3 linked regions of the Rattus norvegicus genome follow. The protein of the gene in region 1 interacts with the protein of each later gene in a biochemical or structural test. Links are inferred from orthologs where the notes say so. Each region holds a gene or a part of one and is shown on either strand. Other genes may lie near its edges.

Region 1 (6,491 bases):
CCCTGCTGGGCATGTGCCTGGACGTGTGTGAGGGCATGGCCTACCTAGAAAAAGCGTGTGTCATCCACAGAGACCTGGTATGAGCAAATGCAGGGGGCCAACACCTGCAAGAACAGGGCAAAGGAATGCATATTCCCCTGTAATGCAATGCTACCAAATCTGAGGGAGCATCACTAAGTAGCGTGTCCCACACAGCCTTCCCTCCTCTCGACCTCTTCCTGCTCCACCCACTTCAGGTGGCCCCTGATAGGGAAATGTTTCCAGTGCTCAGATCTGAACTACACCGGGCCATTCCTCGAACATGTGCCCTCAGAGTTTCAATCCACATTCTTCCAACATACAACTACTCCTAACTCCCTTCTCTGTGCCTCAGTTTCCCCCTGTAAAAGTGAAGGGGATAGGCCAGAACACTTTCACTTTGTAAAACCTATTGTTTGCATATGCTGAGTGTCCGAAGTGATGGTTTCCTTATGCCTTCTTCCCATGTATGCCTCCTATGCTTTGATCGTATTCAAACTCTTCCTCACCATCGCTTGTCCCTGATCTCAATGGCTCCCTTCCTCTTCACAGACACTTCCACTTCTACCTGCATGCTTCATTCATTCATTCATTCATTCATTCACTCATTTTTAATCTAGATCTCATGTGTGAGGAAAAATGACCCATGCTGTTTGTCCTTAAGTGTAGCAATTTCACTTAACCAGATGTTCCCCAGTTCCATCCCACTTCCCCCAAAACGCATCATTTCATTCCTCCTTGTGGCTGAGTACCCTCCCCTCCACCCCCTCACCCCAATCCATGTCTATACACATCACCTTTTCTTTACCCCTTCTCTCATTGATGGGCACTTGGGCTGAAGCACTGTTTTTCTACCAAAGCTGCACCCAAACCTGAGGGGCAGCCTGGGAACCTCTTACAGGCAGGGATCATGAGTAGTCATGTGAGCCCCCAGTTGGACAGGGAAGTACTTTTCAGTATGAGACCCACCCACCTGTTCTCTTGTCTCCCAGGACTCTTCATGGACTACCTAAAGGATACTGACAGGGGCCAGGTACTCTCCCCACTAAGGATAGCATTAAGGGGATTGGCCTTCTTATTAATCACTTTCATATTAATCGCTTGGGAGGCACTGCAGGCAGCCCCAATGTCAGCACTGCCTACCCTGTCAGGTTGCATTCCAGTGAATTACTGGCTGCACAAGGCTGGGTCTCTCTAATAATTAGAAAATAAACTCCTCATCCTGATAAAAGGGCTTGCACACTCGGCAAACTCGCTGAGTTTCCAGCTAGCTCTGCAGGCTGTCGGTGATGCTCAACATCTGTAAGGCTCTGAGTGACTTTGTACAGCAACACAGAGAAACAAAGCCTAGTGACAGGAGTCCCTTCCTCTCCTGGCTCACCACCCACGACTTTATTTCTCATTTGCCTACCTGTCTCTGATCTAGGCCGCCAGGAACTGTTTGGTGGGAGAAAACCAGGTCATCAAGGTGTCCGACTTCGGCATGACAAGGTAATGGAAGGGTGTGGGATCAGCTGCCGTCAGGAAGGAGACTCAGCCCTGCACTGTTCTGACCTCTTCCTCGCCTCTTCCCAGGTTTGTCCTTGATGATCAATATACCAGCTCCACGGGCACCAAATTCCCAGTGAAGTGGGCATCCCCAGAAGTGTTCTCCTTCAGCCGCTACAGCAGCAAGTCAGATGTGTGGTCATTTGGTAAGTTTCACCCTGAGCCCGCCCCTGTGTGATCTGGAACTGTGCACCAGCTGTTTCCTTCTCAAATGCAAACAAGTCTACTTTGTTCTGACCCCTGTGTGGAGAAAGAACCCACGAGGGCCTGCGTGAGAACAGCCTGAAATGTCCGAGCAGCCTCTTTTTGCTGCCTTTATCTCTAGATATCTTTAGAACGGCTAAGAAATTAAAAATAATAATGGAAAAGGAGACTTGGGGTAGCTACTGTGAGCTGGAAAGCTGGAGTTGTCGGGAGATTGGAATATGAAGCTGAAAGCAGGACCTTACTGGGTCCAACATTCCCATACTCAATCCTCCGTAAGCTCTTGTCACTTCACCATGGTTTCCTGAGTGTCTGTTACACTCCTGGGCTACTCAGGGGCTGAGAAGCAGGAGGGCACAGGGCAGAAGAGACTTCTATCCTCTTGAAGCTAAACTTTTGGGGAGAGGAGACAGATGACTGTCACTGAAGTGGAGTTTGGGTCCGTGAGTGCTGTGACTCAAGGAAAGCAGCATTGGTAGAGAGTATTTAGGGCGGGGGAAGGGTCCATTTTACCCAGTACGCTCTGGAAAGGCCTTCTAGAAGTAACTCTTGGACAAATGTCTCCATTCAAATATTCATGAAGCTGTGTCCCTGGCAGGGACGAGAAAGTATGAAAACTCAACTACATCCAGAGATAGCAAGAGTTCCTGAGTTACAGGGAGAACAAAGACAGCAGTAACAGTTGGTGGGAATGAATGACATTAACATGTGGGAAAGGTTAAATAACTTGCTGAGTTTGACGTCAGTCTAACTCACAATTTGTGCACACAAACAGTGTGCATGAAAGTGTACCAAATAGCCGCTCCAATATGATGACTGTACAGATGGCACTTCGGAGAGAAACTGCTTTGGGTTGACCTTGCTATTCTATGTGAAAGGTTTTCCAGGGCACAAACTCAGTGGCACGAGCATGGGAGATCAAGTCTCCCAGGGTAAGAATCGGTGCTGCGATCTTCACTTTAGAATGCCCTATTCCCACGAGTCCAGAACTTGTTAATTATGAATCTTTCTGCTCTGTTCCTTAGTTCAACACACACACACACACACACACACACACACACACACACACACACACACCTCTGGGCTTGGCTGTTACTGTTAACAGGGTAGAAGTTACAGGATGAATTTGGAGGCAATTGTTCTGGTGTCTTCCTTGCACAACTGTCCACAAGTATAGAAGAAGGCCAGAGACAACTCGTGGCTATCTCTCTGTGGGTTATAGAGCCACGGACACTGCCAAGGTGGCACCCAACAAAGATGTTTAGAGTGTGAGCTATACGCACTTTCACCAGCACATTGCAGAAGGGAGTTTGGGAAGTCTTGGCGTGTCAACCAGAGGATAGTCTACTGGGTTTTCCAGAAGTCTAAAGTGCATCCCTTCCTGAGATGTGTGATTTGAAAAGAGTCCAGGAATGAGGTTGAGAGACAGGGGTAGAACAGAAACAGGTAGGAGCAGCAGGGCACACTGGCGCATAACACGGGGGGAGGCAGAGGCAGATCTCTGAGTTCCAGGGCAGCATGGTCTACAGAGAGAGTTCCAGGACAGCCAGGGCTTTTACACAGAGAAATCCTGTCTCAGAGAAAAAAGACAGATAGGCGGACAGGCAGATGGGAAGATAGACAGGTGGACCGACAGAAAGAGGAAGAAAAGAGAAAGACAGACAGTAGTATGTGCAAACCACAGCAACCTGCAGGCTACGAGCCTCCTGCCTGGCTCAGCCTTGTGGGTTTTGTCATAAACGCAGTCTGTGTGATTTATCCCATTGCTTTTATTGAGCGAGTCAGCAGCCTCTATAAACTCTGCCTCTTCATGCCTCAGAGGGTTCACGTTAAAGCAGTCAATACCCAGTAGCCCCAACAACTCACTTCAGAAGACACCTTACTAGAAATCCTAGCACCTTGGGACACTGAACAGTCTTCCTCACAGTCAGATTCTGATTTCCAGGTCTTTGGGCATCTCAGAGGAGCCTGCAGGTTAGTGACCCCAGGAGGAGGGTATTAGGGTGAGGTTCAGAAGTCTCCCATTCGAACAAGTGTAGGAGCTGGCTCTTAGTGGGTATTTGAGAATCAAACTTTGGGGAACTCCATCCTCCAGTCCTGTAGTTTTACCCCTCTGGTCAGGACACCAGCAACCTCCATTTTTTTTCTGAGTCTGTGATCTGTCAGTACACGAGAAAGACAAAGCTGAGGCAGCTTGTATATGGATGAAGGAGTGAAGAAACATACTGTGGGAAGATGCTTTCCCCTCAGTGTCTACAAACAAGTTAAGATTCTGTCTATGAAATGCCTGACACCACAAATGGTTTAGACTTTAGGTTTGGAATATTTGCATGTATATATACGTAAAGGTATTTATAGCTACGGTGTGGGGTAGGAGAGAGAGAGAGCAAGAGAGCTTGGGAATGAAACTGAAGTCTAGACATAAATCCATTTGCTTTGTATATACCTCAGAATCTCTCCAGAAGAACTAGTGGCCTTTTCTAGACTCCTCAAGCACATGCACACACATGGCGATCATTCATACACACACACACACACACACACACACACACACACACACAGAGAGAGAGAGAGAGAGAGAGAGAGAGAGAGTAAAATAATATTTTAAAATAGAACAATGAAAAAAATTAAGGGAAGGCCTGATACTGCACTTCCAGACGTCTAGAGGGGTAGACTTAATACTCACTCCAAGGGCCCTGTTGCTTGTGGGCGTGAGTCTCTCTGGTACATGTGCACCTTCCCCCTAGCTGTTTTTCTGTTCACTGCTGCTTCTAGGTGTACTGATGTGGGAAGTCTTCAGCGAAGGCAAAATCCCATATGAAAACCGAAGCAATTCAGAGGTCGTGGAAGACATCAGCACTGGCTTTCGGTTATACAAGCCCCGCCTGGCCTCCCCTCATGTCTACCAGGTCATGAATCACTGCTGGAAAGAGGTCAGTACACAGGGAGATTCCCCCTGGATCGTAACACACACTTTCAGGGTCCGCATCAAGCGAGAAAGGACATGACCTACAAGGATGGGGATCAAGGAAGACCATAATAAACAGGCAGGGCTTTGTACATGTTTCTGCATATAATCATGTTTTAACTATACGTACATAGGGAGTACAGTATGATCTTTCAGTGTGTGGTTATCAATGTGGTTCCTTGGCTTTTATTGTTTATTTCTTTTTTATTGTTGAGTAGTACTCCATTTGTATGGACATACCATAGTTGGTTTATTCATGTGCTTACTAAAAGGAGCTCTCAGTTTCCAGCAATTATGAGAAAACCTGCTATAAGCATTTACTGCATGTGAATCTATTAAAGTGAATCTAACGGACATAAATTTTCAACTCGGTTGGGTAAATGCCTAGGAGTGGCTGCTGGAACATATGTTAACACTGTTTAGTTGATTTAAGAAGCTAAACGCTGTCGGGTTGTGTTCCTAAGTCTTTTGCCCATTCTTAGCAGTAATGATGGATTCTGGTGCTTTTGTTTTTATTGGTTTGTTGGTTTGGTTGGTACTGCATAGACCCAGCTTTCCTGGAACTCACTGTGTGGACCAGGCCCTGAACCCACAGAGATACACCTGTCTCTGCTTCTGCCTCCTAAGTGCAGGAATTAAAGGTGTACACCCCCATGCCCGGCCCTGCTGCGTCTCATACGCACCAGTACTGGTTATGCTGGACATCACCATTCCTACAGAGGAGGGGGAGATTATATTTTATGTTGTCTCATCTGCCATTTCTTTAGTGGCTGGCCGTGCTGCGCCTCTTTTTGTTTGTGTGCCATCTGTAATCTTAGTGAAACGCTCAGGTTGTTTATTTCCTATCGTTGGCTTTAGAAGGGTTCCTTATCATTATATGCTTTGCAAATGTGTTCTCCAAGCCTACAGTTTACCTTTTCATTCTCTTAGCAATTTCCTTAATGCTTTTACTTAAAAAACTATGCGTGCGGGTGTTGTGCCTATACACGTGTCTGTGCACCCTACTTACGAAGTTCCACAGCGAACAGAAGAGGACTTCAGAACCCCTGGGACTGTAGTTTCAGATGGTTGCGAGCAGCCCCAAGGGGCTGGGAATCAAACCCTGATCCCAGCAAGTGCTCTTAACCACTGATCCATCTCTCCAGCCCTTACTAGTGTCACTTAAATCACATTATTTATTTATTTCATGTGTGTGTGTATGCAGCCCCGAGGGTGGCGTACACTGTTAGTATGCACCTAGGTAGGTCAGAGGACAACTTGCAAGGGTCAGTTCTCACCTTCTGCCTGTGGGTCCCAGGGATGGGGCTCAAGCTGTCAGTTAGCAGCAAGCGCTTTTGCCTTCTGAGCCATCCCACCGTCCCTCTGGACAGGGTCTCTTACTGAATGGAGGTTTTCCAGTTTTAACAAGTTCAGCATCATTTCCCCCATGAATTGCGCTTTCGAAGTTGTAGCTAACAACTCCTCATGAACAGAAGTCACTCAGAAGTCACTCCGAACAGTCACTCAGAACAGTCACTCAGATCTCCTCCAATAAGGATCTCGTAGAGGTTTAATTTATTATTTCTGTATTCTTTTAAATCTTTGCTCCTTCTCAAAATCATGACCACTTTTTAATTGTGATTGCTGTGCATGCACGCATGTGCGTGCGCGCGCGCACACACACACACACACACACACACACACACACACACACACACGCATACACAGATATACAAACTCAAACCTACTCAGTCCACTTAAAGTTATTTGTATG
Region 2 (5,392 bases), on another chromosome or scaffold:
TCCTTGGGCGGTCGTCCGGTGCGCGTAGCCTCGGATTCCGGAGTCGGCAGGTGCGACCGGCATGGCTGGTCAAATCCTCCTGTGCCGGGAGAACAGGGAGGGGCTGAGTGGAGGTGGAAGTCCTAGGGTGCATGCAAGGAGTGAGCACTAACTGGACAGTCTGAGTGATTGTGTACCGTGGCCTGCTAATATGAAAGCCAGGCTTCCTACTAGACTAGAATAAAATGGCACTATTGTTCTAACCATGAGTTTTGATGGGGGCATCTAAGGGAAATGTTTAGGAGGGATATGGTCACTCTTTTTTTTTTTAAAGATTTATTCATTTATTATATATAAGTACACTGTAGCTGTCTTCAGATACACCAGAAGAGAGCATCTGATCTCTTTACAGATGGTTGTGAGCCACCATGTGGTTGCTGGGAATTGAACTCAGGACCTCTGGAAGAGTAGTCGGGTGCTCTTAACCGCTGAGCCATCTCTCCAGCCCAGATATGGTCACTTTTTTTTTTTTCATTTCAATATGCATGTTCTTTTATTTGGAGGAAACTTCAGAATTCTCAAGTTATACATTGAAATTGTTTATAAATAAATACATAAAATTTCATTTATACCAAGAAGCTGGTTTATATCTTTATCTTGTGGGGAAAGCTAATTTATTTAGAGATTCATATAAAAATAATAGTTGGTTTGAAGAGGTCTAAGAAAATGCTGACTCTTAAAAGTTTCACTTACTGAGTGATAAACTAAGGTCATGTGACAGGAGACTTTAACTGTTAGATTCCAACGTAAATTCAAACTCCTCCCATAAGAAGTAATTTTCATGACTGTTTCCCTCACACTTAAATAAGTTGAATCAATTAAATCTAAACTCCAAGGTCTCATCCAGGTTACTTTTATGAGTCTGTCTGCAGGAAGCCACAATCCTGCCCATTCTATACTCCCAGGAAGGTCTTCTCACCAAAGAGTTAGGCCACATGTTCCTTCACTAGGAGTGAGATATGGTCACTCTTTTTTTTTTTTTTTTTTTTTGGAGCTGGGGACCGAACCCAGGGCCTTGCACTTCCTAGGCAAGCGCTCTACCACTGAGCTAAATCCCCAACCCCGAGATATGGTCACTCTTAAGACAACCAGTTCTAGGTCATTTCAAGTTTTCCTGTGTAGGAAAAATAAAAAAACAACCCAAGGCTTGGGGTTTTTCATTTTCTCCAAACAATCCGGAGTTTGGGGGTTTTGTTTCTAATTGTTTACACTTTTGCTTCTTTGTACCGATCCAGTAAAAAGGACTAGAATATAAACAGGGTCTGGAGAAATGGTTCAACTATTATAACCTGGTATTCTTGCAGCGGGAAGGGAGTTCCCAGCACCCATGCACAAGCACAAGTTACATGACTGTAACTCTAGCACTGTGTTGGTTTCCTTGGGCACTGCACTCCGTGAACGTAACACCATTCCCAAACCCCCACTCTCTCACATACACATAATTAAAATCTTAAAAACATAACAAATGGGGCTGGAGAGATGGCTCAGTGGTTAAGAGCACTGACTGCTCTTTCAGAGGTCCTGAGTTCAAATCCCAGCAACCACATGGTGGCTCACAACATCTGTAATGAGATCTGATGCCCTCTTCCGGTGTGTCTGAAGACAGCTACAGTGTACTTGTATACAATAAATAAATAAATCTTTAAAAAATAAAAATAAAAACATAACAAATAAAAGCCTTGGAACATTACTTGTTACAGAGTGTCAGAAGCAGAGAAAGCCATCCATTGCTAAGAAGCCAAGAAAAGGAACGGCCTCATGCATTTTTCACTTCACAGGAGTACACAAAAACAATCAAAAAAGTTGACATTTTTAGACAGTATAAAAAAAAAACTTTAATGGTACAAGAAGCATTTTCCCCCCAGTTCCCATCCAGGAAGACTGAGGTCTGAAGGTGGATCCTCTTTCTATCCCATCTCATTACTGGTTGAGAACAGCTCCTAAAATACAAGTCTTGGAACCTTTGCGAATTGGCTTGTAAGGAGTATGTATCTGCAACATGTATGGCCTGCGGCTTACACAAACATGTCTGGTTACTTGTCCTTCTATCTAGTCTCCACTCCTTCCTGAGATGAGAGGCCTGGGTGCTGGAGGAAAAGTGGCTGGTAGCATTTGCTTGATTCAGTGCATAAAGAAATGTGACTGGTAGCCACAGCCTTCAAAAGGTGAAGCTAGGGTTGCTGTGTGTGGAGTCCTAGGCCATCCTGGGCTACATGGTTTCAGGCCAGTTGACAGAGTGAGACCCAGCTTTACACAACACTTTATAGTACAAGCACAGGTATGAGAAATGGGAAGATTTTGAATCCTGGACCTGTTGCTTTATTTCTTCAAGGCTCAGTCCCCCATTTTCTGAGGTTCTGCTGTCTGTCCAGAGTCTTAGTGACCTGTGATCAACTGCAATCTGAAAATGCTGAATGATAAGTTCCTGAAATAAATAATCCCTACAGTTTACATCGTACACCATTCTGAGTAGCACGATGAAGTCACAGCCACCCTTTCCTGTCCCACTTGGTAGATGAATCATCCCTCTGCCTAGTGCGCCCACACTGAATAACCTACTTGCTCTGTACTCAATTACCCACCTGCTTATTAGATCGAGTGACAGCAATACCATACTACTTGTGTTCAAAGACCCATTTTATCTAAAAACAGGCCCAAAGTGCAGGAGTAGTCATGCCAACTCAGACATGTCAAAGAGAAGCGTTTTCTTTGAGAAAAGGTGGAAGTTCTTGACTTCACATGGGGGAGGGGATCATATGGTAATGTCTATAATAAAAATACATTAAATTAGAAAAATAGAAAAATTAGTACAACCTCTGCTGTGGCACCTCAAACTAAAAAGAACGATAAGTTCTTATTTAAGATGGAAAAGTTACTAAACACAGAACTTAGTTTTGTACACCAACTAAAATGTTAAAAAAAAACAAACCACAGGATTCAATATTATTCACAGATTCAGGGGCCTACTGGCTATCTTGGAACACTCAAAAAGAGTCTGTATTGGTGAAACGTGGGATCAGTTCTATCTCACAAAACTGGAAAGATTATAATTGAGACACTGTAGGCAGAGTTCAGCATGAAGGTGCCTGACTCACAGTAAATGTTCAGTTCATAGTTACTGGTATCTACTCTTAACTTTAATTCCTCAAAGCTTTAAGCTTCTAAATCTTCCCCTGGGATTAAAAGTCTCATAAAATGTGTACTTTCCTCTATTTCCCTTCTTCAGAGTCTGATGGGGAGGAAAGGCGACGTTTAAGAGTCTAATCCCCATGAGTAAGAACCTGAGCAAAAGGGTCCAGAGAGCAATCCTTCATATCTCCAGGGAGAGTCCCTGAGGAAGCGGAGGAACGGGGTTGGGAGAGGAGACACACAGGGCTACGTACCGCAAAGTTTGCGGGGATATGTTGACAAGTCTCTAGGAACTGGATGGCATTGTACAGGACTGGAGAAATGGAGGTGGGACCTCAGAGAGAGGGATGAGGAAGGGGTACCCTCGAAGAGGCACTAGCTGCCGCCACACGCCCGCAGAGCGTCACGGAGCAGAAGTTTACGTTCTCTGGGCATTAGCCTTGGGGAAAAGCCTGCTGTGCCAGTAATCGGGGTTGTCGAAGGCAGAGTCGGTGGCTTCTAAACTACGCAGAGTTTTGAGGCGGGCATAACGAACATGGGGGGCGTGATGTCCAGGCCCCTGGAAAGCTCGCATCTCCTCGTACCCTTGCTCAGCTGCTGGGCAGGCCCCCATAGCTGCATAGTCCCCTCCGGCGCCACCCGCACCACGCCTCCGGTTCATGTACTCATAGTCTTCATCTGGAGTTGTGCCAGCAGAGGGCACGATGGCCATGGGATGGAGCGGGCAGCTCTGTGTACTGCCCAGAGAAGCACTGAGGTCTGAACCCACATCCATGTACTCGTAACCCAGTTCTTCCAGGGAGCCAGGCCTGGGGGGCCGAGGAGGGCTACCCCTTCTCTTCCGGTTCATGTATTCATACTCCTCATCTTCATCTTCCTCCTCAGTACCCAACACAGAACTGAGACCTACCGACGAGAGGGTGCCTTCCCGGGAGGAGGACGCACCTACGGGTGAGAGAAACTCTTAAGTACGTATAGAACTTTGTAGAAATAACCAGAAGGAATGGGAGTGAGTGAGTCATCAGAGAAGGTAAAAGAACTAAGGGGAGCTCGGAGAAAAAGCTTAGAGGAAGATTTGAGAAAATCGCTGGAAGAGTCGTACCTCTGAGGTGTGTATCTGGCATGACGTAGCCATTGCCGTCCTCCTCCTCTAACCCTGGTGGGGAGAGCGGGGTCACAGGAGTAAGCAGGCTGTGTCGCTGCGAATGGTAGGCACTGTCCCCACGAGGCCGCGGGCTCCGACTCCGGCTTCGGCTCCTACACACTGACACTTTCTCTTGGAGTTCAGCCTCAGAGCCTGTCACGTGGCCCTCTGATGACTCTGATGCTGGACGCCCCCGTGGAATTGGGTGCAGAGAGATGGGACGGGAGAACTGTTCACGACCCCCCAAAACCGCAGAATCCTACGGAGGAAAAGTCACGGGAAGCAATATAAGGATTACACAGATTATATACATGCCCAGTTTTTGAGGAAGGTGCAGCTGTTCAGGTAGGGCCTTTTCCATTGCCGGACGCTGAGTAAACCTTCAAGATTCGAAACATCTCCACATTTCTATAAACCCAAGACCATAACACCCAAGCCAGCACATCTTACCAGACAAGCCTCTCCGAGACTGCTCTGGTTCATGGGCATGTACCCAGATGAGGGACTTAAAAGGCTCTGGCTCTAGGATGAGAAAGGAAAGAAAAGGGTTAAAACGAAGGAAGAAATCTATTCCTAGCGGGGAGGCTGATGAGTGGTGATTCTGAGTGGATTCATTGGGTCCAGGGAGCAGAATCTTGTGCAGTTAGAAGACTTACCCCACGTGGCCGGGTGAGCGTTCCCGTAGGCAAGCTGAGAGCAGAACCCAGGGAGGTGGCCAGGCCCTCCTCCTCTGCCTCCAAGTCTAGGTCTAGGTCCAGTTCTGGCTCCAGCTCTGCCTCCTGCAACTCTTTGGTGGTCAGAACAGAGGGTTCTGCCGCAGGAGGTGTTCCAGGCCCACTCGCTCTCTACAGGAGTAGACATTCGTCAAGATGCATTCTCGTTCTCGATAAGTCTGTTCCCTAAACCACTTTGACTTTCTCTAGTCCCCACTCACCTTGATGACCAGATACCTTGGTGGGTCACGGGCCATCCTGGTAAACTCATTGGCTAGTTCTTTAAAGGTTGGGCGAATATTCTCATCAATCATCCAGCCTGGGAAGAGATGTGGAAGGTTGAGTCAGAAGAGAGAACAGAGCCATG
Region 3 (6,491 bases), about 12 Mb from region 1:
TTGTCTGCCTTTCTCTTGATACGCTGTGTACAGTGAACCCCAAATTCATGCCTCGGCAGAGTCAGACCGGGAGTCAGGGAAACGACAACAAGCTGCAGCTTCCAATCCAAGGTGTCTCAACATCATTTTGCAAACCAAGGAGAAGTCCGAGGCCAAAAGGCAAAGACCTTGTTCAGAGTTCCACTGAAGAGGAGAAAGTATGGAGCCTAGATCTACTCACTTTACGTACTTCTTGCCCAGACAGACCTTGTCTACAGCAAGTTCAAAGCCAACGACCTCAGTGCAAAAGTCAGAAAGATATGGGTTCAAGTCTTAACCCACCTATACAAAACAGGGCATGCTATTTAGCCTCTCTAACCTTCTGTCGTCTGAGAGGTGGAGAGAACACACCCCTTCACTGACTTGGCCCAAGGATGTAAAGCACCTGCTCCATCCTAGCTGCTCCATAAGTTGTAGCTAAGTTGAATTAAAGAATAGCTCTACGTAAGGGGAGCTGGAACCATGAGTAAATTGTGCAAAAAGTTCATAGTGTTTTATCAACTGTACACACCCACTGCAAAAGGCAATTTTGATATCCAAATGTTTTAGCAAATGTTTCCTCCTTGCCAGGAGACTGTGGCCTAAAAACGCAACATCCCCTGGGTCAGCAAAATGATAAGTATCGACCAAAACAGCTGACTACAGCTCTTCTGGTGCTCTTGCCTCTCAGCCCCTTTTTCCCTTGAATACTGGGTTCCATCCTGCCCTGTCTTGGTCAAAGTGAACACAGCTTACAGGCCTGGTGGAGCAGGCACAGCCCAGGGACTAAAAGCAGGGGTTCAGGCACCAGGCTGATCTGGTTTTGGGTCTCTGTCTTCCTCATTTGCTCACTGAGGGATGTTGGAAAGTTATTGCTTTGTGCCTCTGTTTCTTCCTCTGTAAAATGAGGATGTTTCTCATGAATTTACAGTATTGTGCCAGTAGTAAAACAAGATCGTGTGTGTGTGTATGTATGTGTATGTGTGTGTATAATATGTGTGTGCTTAGCACTCTATAAACGTAGCCATTATTATTGTGCATAAAATATGAGCAATACCAACCCAGTAAGGGCTCTCGGTCAAGAGGAGGAGCCAATGAGCGGTCCAGGGGAGGTTTTGTGCTTCTGTCTATTGATGGAGCAGGCACTGGAGTGGAGAAAGCTGAGGTCAGTTAAAAAAGAAAGAAAGCATCCGGCTGGGAATTGGGTGGGTGGGCTGGGGGGGGTGCAGAAAGCACCCTGTACATACGCTTTGCTGTTTTATGGTTCCGATTTCTGCTAGGTTCTTCATGGTTGGGCTGGGCCGGAGACAGTGGCAGCATGGAATTAAAAAAAATAATAATAACCCAGTCCAAATGTTTGGAAATTTTCCCACTTTTCCCTCTCCAAAGGTATCTGGATCCCTTTTCTCCATCTCCAGGTCTGTCCCGCAGCTAGCTGTCAGCTGAGTTGCTGAGGTCGTGCCCCTCTGAACTTCCTCACTCTCTCATGCTTCAGCCTTTTGCATGGCAAAGAACCAAGCAGAAACTTCCCTACCAAGCCCTCCAAGGTTCTAGTCACATCAGAAGTGAAATATGACACCACCATCACCACCACCACCACCACCTCCACCACCACCCCTACCACCCCTACCCCTATCCCCCATCCCCCCACCCCCATGAAGCCCCACAGTAGATGCCCTGCCCACCATTTGAAGCCATTTCTATGTTCCTCGCTAATGCTCCATGGTCCCCGAATAAGGATCTCCTTACAGTTCTCACAAAACCCAAAGCTCATACCTACTCGTGAACATCTCTGTGCCTATGTTTCCTCTGCCTGGGATGTTCCTTCTGCGTTCCCTATGACTGGCTCGTCCTGTGCCAGCTCGGTGTCAGCTCTGTACACTCTGTCATATTACTCGGCCCCCTGTCTTCCTAAACCACATACCCAGGTCATTTCTACATCTGTGTGCTTGTTGATAGCAACACGGTATGAAAGTCGGAACATTCTGTACTGTTCCGTGTTCTTCCCCCGGCACAGAGGACACTGGTGTGAAGTAGTAGCCCCATCAGTATCTGTTGACATGATAGGCAAAGCCTGCCTCCCAGTGGTGGAGGTGCCAGCCGTCTGATTTCAAAAGCAAAATGCCTTTCCTCCCACCACAATCTCCCCTCCTAGCTCTGTCCTGGCCCCTTGCGGAAAGAGCACATCGATGACTCCTTTAGACTGAGCTTCATGTAACCTCCATAGGAGCTGGACTATAATGCTGAATGAAAAGGGAAAGTGGGGCTCGGTGCCACTGTTTCTCTCATGGGCTTCACCGAGTTGGAAATCTTGTGGTCTGAAGGCGTTCATCCCTGGAAGTTCTTGACCTTGCCAGCAGGTGGCGCAGCGCTGCTTGCACGGGGAGGCCTACCTCGAGAGTCTAGGCAACACCGGAAGATGCCAGGCCAGACTTGGTTCTCCCACAGTTAAATAGCGGAAGTAGCACAATGATATTGGAGAAGGGGAGTATCTCATTATACACGCAGTTTATATTGTTTTTGGTGCAAAAAAACTGCCAATAAACATTATGCTATACATAGAAACTGCTTCTATGTCATCACAAAATTGAACTACTGAGCGGAACGTGAGGGTGTGCATTTTTCCTGTCATAACCGCCTCTTACAAACTTAGAATTAGGTCAAGATGCTTAGTTCCTTTTCTGTCTACCGGAAGAACGAATTGTAGTGGAAACAAAGCGGCCTGGAAGAAAGGGAAGAGGCTTACCGAGTGATTCCGGCCTGTTGGCAGGGGAGGGAGGGCGGCCATTGGTCTCTGCGGGGGCACCGGAGGCTGCTGGGAGACCTTGCCGGTGGGAGGCCGGTCTGTGGAAACACAATATTAAAAAGAAAGGAGAGCCGTTTAATACCACCGGGGAAGCAGAGGTAGGTGGATCTCTGAGTTCAAGGTTAGCCTGGCCTACAGAGCTAGTTCTAAGACAGCCAGGGCTACACAGAGAAACTTTGTCTCGAAAAACAAAAACAAACAAACAAAAACCAAGAAAGAAAGAAAAAAAACGAAAAGAGAAAAAATTAAAACGTTTGAATTAGGCTTCTTCTAGAACATGTTGTGCCTGACTATAGCTTGAGGTGTCAGGAGCCTCCTCCAGATCTCCACCGGTACCAGCATGAATTTGACATATAGTCAGACCCAGCCTGGGTCCTACAGGAGGCAGGAAGTCCTTGGCCCAGATCTGTCCCTCATCCTGCAGATTTGGTTTAAGTCTTCTTATACATTGGAATAACTCCCACAGTACCTTACACACAAACAGGTAATATCTGAGACACCTCTAGCCAAAGGAAGCCTCTAGAGAATTACCCCAGTGTTTTCAGATACAAATTCTACATGTGTGGACGAGCAAGGGTTCATGTGCATGCACACATGATCCCTGTGCATATATGTGCACATTTGCAAATATAGAGCACAAGTGTGTGTATTCAACATGCACATGCATGTACCTATGCCGTGAAACATGAGTGTATGCTGACACTTAAGCATGCACAGAGACACGTGTGTGCATGCCTGCATACATATGCTCACACTGCACAGGATTAAGTTCGCTGCCACCCTCATGAGCTCCTCACTCTGTCGCTTCCTTCCCTTCACAGGTACTCTGGGCTGCTATGTTCTCCTATTTCGTCCTTTGTCTGTCCCCTCCCTTACAGGGAGGGGCTGGCTCTCAATTCTGTTACCAAATTAAACAGCCCATGGTCTCGCCCTAGACAGACACATTATTCCGATTGCCACAGAACTTCCCAGAACCAGTTTGACAAGTTTGGGATTTCTTACCCCTTTGGGTGGGAAAGGCCAGCACCGGACAGCGAGGCAGGAGTAGCAAGTGCCTCTAGCATCCTGTACTTTTGGCCCTGGAGGCTTATCCAAGCTGCAGAAACCCCAACTAACAGACTGACTAACTGTTGGTTTGGGGAAGATTGAGGAAGGAGTCTGGAACTTCAGACTGGAAAGGCTGTTGTGGACTTGATCTACCCCTTTGTTAGCCCTATGAAGAATATCATTTCCCTTCCAGAAGGAAGGGGGTTCGGGCAAGGGGTAAGGGGAAGTCTGGTATCCATACCACAGGCTGCCTTTCAGCTCCTCGGATAGCCCATGTTCCTTGGGACCTCAGGGCCTCTGCACTGCCGTTTTATGTGCTTCAAATGTTCCTCCCCTACCCTGTTCGGCGTCATTTAACCAAACCTTCCTCATTTGCCATTCAGTATTTAATATCAGCCGAAGACTGTCGCTCAAATACCACACCCTGAAGGAGCAAACCCGTTTATTATGCTGGCCTAATGGAGTGACAGGATGCATTAGCTTAGTGTCATGCATTAGCTTAGTGTCGCCTCACCCACTCCACCAGGAGTGCTCAAGGATGAGGTCCGTCATGCTCACTCCATGTCTCTGTGACAGGCACCTAGAGATACTCACCAGCCTGGTTTCCCTTTTCTGCTCTGTCTGGAATAGCCTCAGTGATGGCTGAAGCTCCCTGCCTGTTAGCTTTCATGTTCTATCCCTCAATACACAAAGTCAGGTGGTGGGGCGCAGTCTGAAGCAGAGTACAACACAGCTCCCAGGGTGAGACACATTGACCCCTGGATGCAGAGGAAACCGAGTGTGCCTATGCTCATTTTCTGTTACCTCCTCTTCTAGAAAGTAATTCCCACCGGATAAAGGTGCATCTTCCTTCCTGGTAGATTCCAGCACATGGTGTCTGGCTCATAACAGGAGAGGAGAAGCATTCGTGACTTCATGAATGAATGAATGAGGAAGAACATGTGAGTGCAGGACGGCAGGTAAATGAGGAACATCCTAAAGTCTGTCTCATTGTAAAGGCAGAACCAATCCCTCTGAGTGCCCTCACATTTCTTATGACCTTCTGTGGATGGCGGTGCCACATAACCACCCTCTTCCCATCAAGCCTTTGTCCTCTGTTCTAGTATTATCCTGTATTACTCATAAGGAAACAGCCAGAGAGGCAGAGTCTCTGGCCTCAAGCCACCAGTTTTTCAGAAGCTGACAGGAATCAGCACCCAGAGAAGCTCAATGGGCGGCTTCTCCCAGGGCTGGCAGGACTAGCGGGCTGCGACGAGACCCTTACCAATGTACATGGAGTTGGTGTTGGGGAAAGGCTTGGCAGGCAGGATGGAGTTCTGCAGAGCCTCCTCATCGTTGGAGGGTGGCGGCTCATAGTCAGCAGCATCGTCCACTAGCGTCTCTTCCTCCTCGTTAGGGGACTCATAGTCACCATCATCCTCCCCATCTGGATCGTCGTCATTGGGACTTTCATAGTCATCTTCCTGTCAACACAGTCGAGGGACGTCACAGCTAATACGGGTGTCACAAGGCAACATTTTACAGCATGAACCTATGAGATCTCTGCCCGGGACCCCAGCATCCTCCCGGCAGATCTGTCTGTGATGGCCTCCAGAGACTAGAAACTCGTGCTTTGGGGACAGAACTGAAGACTAGTCTCTGGCTGAGCATGGGAAGACTTAAGAGGAGCTTTGGCAGGGATCCAGCTGCTGAAGCACAAACACATCTGGAGAAACTAGTTCTCTTGTTCCTTTTTTACAAAATAAATCTGTTGCATTCCTTTGCTTTCCCATATTTAAAATAAAAAACAGACTTGCAAACCATTTTCTTTCAGATGAAGTACTTTCATTTACTGGAATGCCAATAGGACACAGGACACTCAGTGCATGGTTTTTAAAAGACCTAAAGGTGGCCACTTGCCAGAAAGACCACTTAGACCGAGGGTTGGACAGCCTGGGTCCCAGATCTGCCTTTACCTGACAAAGAACTTTGCACAAGGCACATCCCTCCAGCTCTCTCTTCCATCACAGAATTTTTTAGCCCCTGTCTATCTTTGTGCATGGTGACCATGTGTAGTTTGAGGAAAGAAGATGCATAGTCCATTGGACTCTGAAAGGTGTTGTCACCATGACCCTTCCCATGTAAAATCGGCATGGGCACCTCTCTGGTGTTAACACTCCATTCTGCAATGCTTTCCCCTATGCGTTATCAGCGGTGACTTAACTCCATGAGAAGAGTTACAGTAGCATAGATTTCTAGTAAGGATAGTAGAAAGGAATGGATAGCTGTTGTGATTGGGTATGGTTGTGAAGATAAATGGTGTGGCAGTGAGTTACAGCCCACTTCTGTATTCATCAGGGAGCCCACTCATTTGCTCGCTGCCCATGGCTGCTTCTAGGCCACAGAAGCAGAGCTGAGTAGTAGAGAGAGAAACCTTTGGGCTTCCAATGCTGGACATATTTTACTTTGGCCCTTTCCTGGGACCTGAAATGGGATGTTTCAATGCCTTGTTGGTGGAAGGAGACTGCTCCTTTTCTAGTATTAAGACCAATGTACAGCCATTCTGGCCATATATACAAGGGTGATTTAGCCCAAGCCATACTCACAAAGGATGACCAGCCACCATCGTCTTCTTCATGGA

The links.
Region 2: the proteins of Itk (region 1) and Erbb3 form a complex in vitro, tested with the Homo sapiens proteins (2 studies listed by BioGRID and IntAct, with this or other methods). The link is inferred for Rattus norvegicus from reciprocal best matches to the Homo sapiens genes ITK and ERBB3.
Region 3: the proteins of Itk (region 1) and Lcp2 form a complex in vitro, tested with the Homo sapiens proteins (2 studies listed by BioGRID, with this or other methods). The link is inferred for Rattus norvegicus from reciprocal best matches to the Homo sapiens genes ITK and LCP2.

What each region holds. Positions count from the first base shown.
Region 1 is NC_086028.1:31,259,114-31,265,604, reverse strand, and holds part of Itk (tyrosine-protein kinase ITK/TSK), read left to right. Parts: coding exon 1-77; intron 78-1,444; coding exon 1,445-1,509; intron 1,510-1,593; coding exon 1,594-1,712; intron 1,713-4,545; coding exon 4,546-4,703; intron 4,704-6,491. UniProt on the Homo sapiens protein: Tyrosine kinase that plays an essential role in regulation of the adaptive immune response. Regulates the development, function and differentiation of conventional T-cells and nonconventional NKT-cells.
Region 2 is NC_086025.1:1,577,231-1,582,622, forward strand, and holds the end of Erbb3 (receptor tyrosine-protein kinase erbB-3), read right to left. Parts: intron 5,345-5,392; coding exon 5,247-5,344; intron 5,158-5,246; coding exon 4,969-5,157; intron 4,835-4,968; coding exon 4,763-4,834; intron 4,572-4,762; coding exon 4,271-4,571; intron 4,114-4,270; coding exon 3,587-4,113; 3' UTR 1,849-3,586; downstream 1-1,848. UniProt on the Homo sapiens protein: Tyrosine-protein kinase that plays an essential role as cell surface receptor for neuregulins.
Region 3 is NC_086028.1:19,169,161-19,175,651, reverse strand, and holds part of Lcp2 (lymphocyte cytosolic protein 2), read right to left. Parts: coding exon 6,457-6,491; intron 5,335-6,456; coding exon 5,136-5,334; exon of another isoform or gene 4,688-5,135; intron 2,923-4,687; exon of another isoform or gene 2,863-2,922; coding exon 2,765-2,862; exon of another isoform or gene 1,601-2,764; intron 1,315-1,600; coding exon 1,266-1,314; intron 1,164-1,265; coding exon 1,080-1,163; intron 1-1,079. UniProt on the Homo sapiens protein: Adapter protein primarily involved in signaling pathways within T-cells, as well as other immune cells such as platelets, mast cells, and natural killer (NK) cells.